2 linked regions of the Macaca mulatta genome follow. The protein of the gene in region 1 interacts with the protein of each later gene in a pairwise test. Links are inferred from orthologs where the notes say so. Each region holds a gene or a part of one and is shown on either strand. Other genes may lie near its edges.

The links.
Region 2: the proteins of SH3GLB2 (region 1) and melanoma-associated antigen 1 interact in binary tests that used the Homo sapiens proteins (3 or more experiments, as listed by UniProt). The two-hybrid records come from large-scale screens. The link is inferred for Macaca mulatta from reciprocal best matches to the Homo sapiens genes SH3GLB2 and MAGEA1.

Annotation. Positions count from the first base shown.
Region 1 is NC_133420.1:18,617,968-18,622,228, reverse strand, and holds the start of SH3GLB2 (endophilin-B2), read right to left. Parts: upstream 2,810-4,261; 5' UTR 2,781-2,809; coding exon 2,718-2,780; exon of another isoform or gene 2,296-2,717; coding exon of another isoform or gene 2,200-2,295; intron 1-2,199.
Region 2 is NC_133426.1:159,459,741-159,463,429, forward strand, and holds melanoma-associated antigen 1, read right to left. Parts: upstream 2,221-3,689; 5' UTR 2,167-2,220; coding exon 1,216-2,166; 3' UTR 503-1,215; downstream 1-502.

The DNA.
Region 1 (4,261 bases):
TCAGCACTTTGGGAGGCTGAGGCAGGAGGATCACTTGAGCCCAGGAGTTTGAGACCAGCCTGGCCAACATGGTGAAACCCCATCTCTACTAAGTACAAAAAAAAAAAAAAAAAATTAGCCAGGAGTGGTGGCAGGTGCCTATAATCCCAGTTACTCGGGAGGTTGCAGTGAGCCAAGATTGTGCCATTGCACTCCAGCCTGGGCGATAGGATGAGACCCAGTCTCAAAAAAAAAAAAAAAAAAAAAAAAAAGGAAGGAAAGAAGAAAGGAGGAAGGGAGGGAGGAAGGCAGGCAGGCGGGCACGTCTCCCTCACATCCCTCCTCAGCTCTTGAGAGCTACCCTGATGGTACCAAGGGCATCACCCTAAATGTGCACCTCAACACCTGCCCTCCTTACCAAGGTTGAGAACAGCACTCCCCACCCTGCCCTCCCTTACAGGCCACATCTGCCCAGGTGAGAAGTTCTACCAGGCTTTCCCAAGCTAGAGGGCATTCATCCCATGTCCACTGCAGCCTGTCTGGCTCCATGACGACGATGCCACCACCTCTCTGGCTTTTATAAGCATTACTTCTACCACTACTATTACTATTACTGCAATGACGACGAATAGTATTAGTACTATCACTCCTCCTGCCTTCTCCCACCCCCACTGGCCAAATCTGCCTTAGGTTTTCTTGCCTCCGTGCCCTTATCTGGGCTGCTCCTGCCACTTGGACCAACGTCACAGGCCCCTCCCTACTTTCTGGGCACAGTTCAGGGGCCCTCTGTGCAGGAAACCATCCCAGAATGACCCATACAAAAGGGATCCTGCCCTCTGGATCCTCATCTCAGGGCCAAGGCCTTGTTCCTTGCTGGATGGGGGAGGCTCTTAAAGTTGTTTCTCGTACCCGCAGGGACTGGGAGGTTCCCGAGCCCATCACATGTACTGATCACAGAGAACCCCTCTCCCATCCCTCCTGGCTGTCTCCCATCCAGGCCAGCGTGGTCTCAGGCAGAGCCCCTCTACGGCCTCTCCTGCCAGGTCACATTTCAGGCCTCTCTGTCCCCTGGCCTGCCACTCTGCCCCAATCCTGCCAAGGGGAAGGGGTTTGGTGCTGGAGTCCGAGGCTACTCCCAGGAAAATGGCAGCAGTGGGGTGGGCGTGCAGAGCAGAGAAAGCCTCTATTTATAAAGCTCCCAGCTCCCTCCCTCCCACCCCGAGGCTGGGGCCTGACTGCTGGCTCCCACTCCAGTAACAGTGACCCTGTGGGGCAGCCCCCACCAAGCAGAGCCACACCTAGGCCCCGCTCTGCCTAGGCCCTGAGAGCCCTGGCCAGGTCAGGCAGCAGGGCCCCAGCCCTAGCAGGGAACTGGCAGATCAGGTTCTTCCCAGATGTGGGAGATAGTGTGGTTGCCATACCAACAGCAAAGTGGGTTCCCCCCTCCCAGATGGACTGGGGCCATCCAATCCGAGGGGCTCCGGGATCCTGGCATCTCCACTAGGGCTGGGGCTGCCCACCAGACTTGGAACACTTTAAGCAGTGAATTCTCGCTGGGATGCTAATCCTCAACGGGACACAGCACTTTCTAGTAAACATGACTACATGGGTTGCTGGCTGTGTCTGGGCTCCTGGGGAGGGGAGGGGAGTGCCGGGGTTGGGGGTGGGGAGACAACTGTACTCAACAGAAACAACAAAGATGACAACGACAAAGACAATGCTACAGGACCTGCTCCCAGAGCCCTGGAATGGGCCAGCCCCAGGCCTGCGGAATCCCACTGAATCCCATAACCACGGTGTTACACCTGATTTACAGAAGGGGAAGGCGGGGCTCAGAGAGAAGTGACTTGTCCAAGGGCACATGCTGAATGGGTGCAATATTAACCACGGTGACACCAATAATGAGCTTGCCTCCGGTGAGCACACATATGCAGAGTCCCACAGAATCCTCGCATCTGCCCTGGGAGGCAGGAATACTGATCCCATTTTTCAGACTGAGAAACTGAGGCCCAGTGAGGTGAAGGCACCTCCCCCAAGGTCACAGGAGGGCACTTTCCCACCCACACCTGAGCCTAGGTCTTCCCATGATGTTGAGCTGTTTCTCTCTGCCCCTAAACGGACAGGACTGGTTCCAATCTCAGTATCGTGGGCCTGAACAGCTTCCCAGGCAGATCCCAGCCCTCTCCCCATCCCCCAGGCCTAGGGACGAAGGAAACAGACCTCCCGTGGGGCAGAAAGGAAACAGCTCCTGGCTTCCGGCCTGACTATCCAAGCGTGTGAAATGGCCATGAGGGACTCATGACACCAGCCGCCCATTGCACAGGTGGGGAGACTGAGGCCCGGAGAAGGGGTTGTGGCGGACGCATGAGTCCCTGGGCCTGGGACCCAGGTCGCTAAAAGCCCCGCCAGGCGCCGGTCACTGCTGGACAAGGGCAGGGAGGTAGGACCCAGCCGGTGCCTCCTCCCCTCCTCAGCCGGGCAGGCGCCAGGGGAGCAGGATAACCCAACCGGCCCAAAGGGTGGGCACCGGTGCCTCACTCCAGGCAGTAGGGCCGGGCCGCCCGGGCTCTTTCCCTCTTCTGGTCAGCAAGGGCTCAGTGGGGCAGAGGTGTGCCCGCGGCGGGGACGGGGGCAGCAGCCCGGGAGGGCTTCCCCGCGTCCCCAGGCGTCTGCCGCAGGGTGCTCCCCGCCCGCCGCACATCCGGGCCCCCGGCGCACGGCGCGACGCCAGGCCTCACCTGCACGGCCCGGGTGAAGAAGATGCCCGCGTCCGACGCCAGCTTCTTCATGTTGAAGTCCATGGTGCGCCCGCAGGGCCGCCGCGCACGGGCCGAGCGCAGCCGGCAGCCCCAGGCCCAGCCGCCGCAGCTAACCGCACCCCGCCCACCTGCTGCGGGCCACCGGCCCTCCGCGTACCCGCCCGCCCGCCAGCCCGCAGCAGCCGCCTAGCCAGTCCGAGCGTGCAGGGCGGGGCGCGGAGGCCGCGGGACGGAGTAGGCGGGGTGCGGAGGCCGCGGGGCGGAGCTAGGGGGCGGGGGGCGGAGCTGACGGCGCCGGGGCGGAGCGGGACGGCAGTGGGGCGGGGCTAGAGGGCGGAGGCGGGTTGGCGGAAGTTGAGCAGAGTTGGAGGGGGCGGGGCTGGTGGGGCAGGGGCGGGGACAGAGGGCAGTGGGGCGGAGCTAGATGGGTGGGGGTGTGGCCTTGGCACGGCCAGAGCCGGGTGCGGGGCGGGTGCAGGGCGGGTGCAGGGTGTCCCGCTGGGCAGTGCTCGCTGCTGCCCCCCTGCGCCTGCTGCCGCCACCGCTTAGGCCGGCCTTTTTTTCCTTTACTAAAATTATTATTAAAACTGGAACTCATGTGCTCTTAGATGATTGCAGGTACACACAATAATTACATATTATTTGACATCTTACCAATGCTTTTCAAAATTTTTAATTGTTAAATATGTATTTACAGTCTACAAGGTGATGAAATTGTGGAATAATGAAATCAAGTTAATTTACATGTCCATCACCTCACCTACTTTTTTTTGTGGTGAGAACATTTCAAATGTACTCTTTTAGCAATTATGCAATACTTTTTTTTTTTTTTTTTGTAGACAGAGTCTTGCTCTGTCACCCAGGCTGGAGTGCAGGGGTGTGATCTCGGCTCACTGCATCCTCCACCTCCCAGCTCAAGCAATTCTCCTGCTTCATTCAGCCTCCCGAGTAGCTGGGACTACAGGTGCCCACCACCATGCCCCACTAATTTTTTGTACTTTAGGAGAAATGAGGTTTCAACATGTTGCCCAGGGTGGTCTTGAACTCCTGATCTCAGGCAATCTGCCTGCCTCAGTCTCCCAAAGTCACTAAGTGACTGTGGTCACCAATCCGTGCAATAGATCTCTAAAATGGGCCTCTCTTGCTTTCTCCTCCCCCTACGCTGTGCCTGCTGCCTCTCCCCTATTTGTGCCTCTTCATCTCCGTTCTCTTTATTCGTACCCCCACCTCCTGTTCCTATTTCTTCCACTCTGTTTCCCTTGGGTCTCCTCCCTTTACTCCTCCCCTCTGACCTCTCCTCCTCTCTTCTGCCCTGACCTCGGTGACTGAGCCAGCCTGACCAAGATGGAGAAACTCTATCTCTACTAAAAATACAAAATTAGCCAGGCGTGGTGGCACACGCCTGTAATCCCAGCTACTTGGGAGGCTGAGGCAGGAGAATTGCTTGAATCCCCAAGAAATACTAGGCAGACAGGGGCGCGTCCCTGGCAAAACCCTACATTCCAGCTGAAAAGCCTGAATCC
Region 2 (3,689 bases), on another chromosome or scaffold:
TCTCACCGTCTGAGAATCTGGCCCTGGATCCACCCAGGATCCTTACAATCAGCTCCCGCAGAAGGAACTGCAGTTTCCCAAAGCCCAAAATGCCCCAGCTCAGGACATTTACACTCTACCACTCTCACCTGGAGCCCCACACCCTCACTCTCTCTTACTTTTCCTCTACATCTTCAGAGGACATCTTGCCACCTTGATTGCGTGACTGCAGCTCTTAGACTCTACAACCCTATGGGTAGGCATGAGTCTGGCTTACCTTAGCATCTCCACTACTAACTCAGGGCCTTCCAAAAAGCAGCTGCTCAGTGCATGGAGAAGAAAGGAGCCAGTGAACAGGAAGAATTCTTTATTCAGATTTAATTTCTCCTACATTCTCAAAGCAGCCAAGGAAATCCAGGTATGCATATATCTTTTAAAATGTTACAGAATAGACTGAGGTATAAGGCAAGAATTGACTATCTCGGCCGGGCGCGGTGGCTCACGCCTGCAATCCCAGCACTTTGGGGGGCCGAGGCGGGCGGATCACAAGGTCAGGAGATCGAGACCACGGTGAAACCCCGTCTCTACTAAAAATACAAAAAATTAGCCGGGCGCGGTTGTGGGCGCCTGTAGTCCCAGCTACTCAGGAGGCTGAGGCAGGAGAATGGCGTGAACCCGGGAGGCGGAGCTTGCAGTGAGCCGAGATCGCGCCACTGCACTCCAGCCTGGGCGACAGAGCGAGACTCCGTCTCAAAAAAAAAAAAAAAAAAAAAAAAAAAAAAAAAGAATTGACTATCTCTTAATTTCTTTAGTTCTTTATCTCATCTATTTTACTGCTCATTTTTCACATTTCTAAGTAAATACTTATTCCACTGCTGTTATTATCCCAATTCACAAAATAGAATGGATTTCCCAATCTGAATGAAACACAAGACTCTTACTACTCAACTATATACACGGCACTATGTGTGACTACTGTCATTCATAAACTTGGATGCTGAAGTTCATTCAACCATTCCTTAAAAGGAACACTTGAACAATTCCAAAAGAGAACAAAGATAAATCTCCAAGTCATCCAATAGAACAGAAACCTACTACTGAGAATGCTGACTGCTCTCTTCAAACAGAGTGAAGAATGGGCCTCACATCACACGAGGCAGGGAAAGCTGCTGGACACGGTCCTTGAAGGTGCACTAGCCCAGCCCCCCTCCCACTGGCCTTGGCTGCAACTCATGCTCAGACTCCCTCTTCATCCTCTCTCAAAGCTGCTCCCTCCTGTCTCAAAGCTGCTTCACGCAGGGATGGGAAGAAAAAGCGAACTCTTGCACTGACCTTGATCACATACTCAAGGACTTTCACATAGCTGGTTTCAGTGAGGGCCCTTGGACCCCACAGGAACTCATAGCGTGCAGGATCACTGTAGGGCACCTGCCGGTACTCCAGGTACTTTTCCTGCACCAAATCTTGGGTGAGCAGCTTCCTGGGCTCCCCATAGGCACTGTGCTCCCTCCCATCATATACCTCCATCACATTCAGCTCTTCCCAGATTTCCTCCTCAGGAGCACGGCCGCCCTCCATTGCAATCATAACCAGGATGATTATCAGGAAGCCTGTCTTGGGCATGATCTGATTATCACCCAGCAGGCCGTCATAGGAGAGCCCCAGGCAGGTGACAAGGACATAGGAGTGGCCGGTGGAGTCTGCTTCCTTCACGTCAATGCCAAAGACCAGTTGCAAGGACTCAGAGGCTTTGCCGAAGATCACAGGAAAGCAGTGCTTGTAATTTTTGATGACTCTCTCCAGCATTTCTGCCTTTGTGACCGGCTCCCTGGCTCGATACTTGAGGAGCAGAAAACGAACCAAATCAGCCACCTTCTTAGTGAGTACTGCTCGGAACAAGGACTCCAGGACACGCGAGGTGCTTGGCCCCTCTTCTTCATGGCTGCTGGAACTCTCATTGGGTTGCCTCCAGCGAGGGAAGTTGATGGTAGTGGGAAAGGCGGAGGCTCCCTGAGGAGTCTGGGGGGGATCTGTTGACCCAGCAGTAGGCACCTCCTCCAGGGTGCCCAGGACCAGAGGAGAGGAGGAGGCGGCGGCAGCCTGCACACACACCAGCCCCAGGGCCTCTTGTTGGGCCTCAAGGGCTTCCTCAGGCTTGTAGTGCAGACTCCTCTGCTCAAGAGACATGATGACTCTGGTCAGGGCAGCAGGCAGGAGTGTACAGGAGCTGGGCAATGAAGACCCACGGGCCTGGAGAGAGAGGGAGTGTGTGAGAGGCCTCAGCTGAGAACTGAACCTTGGAGACTCTAACAAAGGCCTACTTACAGATCTTCTCCTTGGTGCTCCTCTGTGGCCTCCAGGGAATCCTGTCCTCCAGGTTGGCCTGTCCCCTGAAAACCTGAAGGAGGAAGTGAGAGGGCACTCAGGGTACAGCCGGCCAGCAGAGGTCGATTCTACAGGACTGACGGTAGGGAGGTGAGGCCAGACTCTGTGGAGTTCCATGTGTCCTGCGGCAGGCGGGGCCCTTGGTGTGCATTCAGGGCAAACGTTGACTGCTGGCACAGCCTGTGCGTCCTCTGCTCTGTGATCTGAGGACACTGTCTCAAACCAAGGCCTCACTGCCTGGTTCTTGGAGCTCCTGGAAGAGGAATCCACGGGCCCTCAGGGTGCAGACTGCAAGCACAGCCCTGGGCCCTCAGTGCTATTAGGAGGGTGGGCTGGACTCTGTGACATCCCCACTCTCATGCGGTGGATGATCCCCTCTGTTCTCACGCAGGGCCCTTGCATTTTTCCTGGCAGGACCTGGATCCCACCCTTTTGCTGGTCTGAGAAATCCAAATAAAGAGCTCACATCCATGATAAGGAACAGAAAGACAGGAGGGGACCCACATCTGGCCACTCGGGCCTAGGTCCTCGGGGAAGGACAGCAAGAGATATCAAAATTCATTGGAATTAATGTGTCCTGGGTGAGGCGCCTGTTTGGTCCTCACCTTGACTCCTGGCAGGGCCTGGGACTCTCCCTCTACTGACGTGAGTGAAGCCTTCTCAGATCAAGGCCTCCCCCTCCCTGACATCAATGATCCCAAGATAAGAGAGGGACCTTGGCAGATGACCCAGCCCATGCTCTCTGGGGTGACAGCAGGGGCAGAGCTGATTTCTGTGCGGTCTCTGTCAGTGTTCTGGCCCTGGGGTATCCTCAATCCTCCCTCATGTTCCTCACCCAAATGCATGGCAGATCGTAGGACTGCTCTGTCTTTAGACCAGATGGGGGTCCCTATGTTGACCCGAGTCACCCTCTGAGAACAAGGTCCTCACCTCTCTGAGATCTGGAAACAGGAGTAAGAAGATGCCACACCCTGGGTGAAGTGTCCAGGGCTGACCCCTTTGGTTCTGGGGTGAGGATTCCAATAGCCTTGTCTGGCTCACTCATCTTTATTCCTGCCAAAGCCTGTGCTTCCTCAACCCCCAATTCCCTGAGATGGGTAGACATCCCCCCTTTACCCCAAGACCCCATCTCCTTGCGGGCTCCCCAACTTCCTGCCTGTGGTACAAGTGAGACTAGAACATACGGCCATCCCTGATCTGGTCCCCCTAGAGCTACAAAAAAGAAACAGCCATACTCTGTGGAGCCAGGGATATCCCCAGTCCTTGTGAAGGGGGCACATCTTGGGTTGTATGGATCCTGGAACTCCTTCCTCTGTTGACCTGAG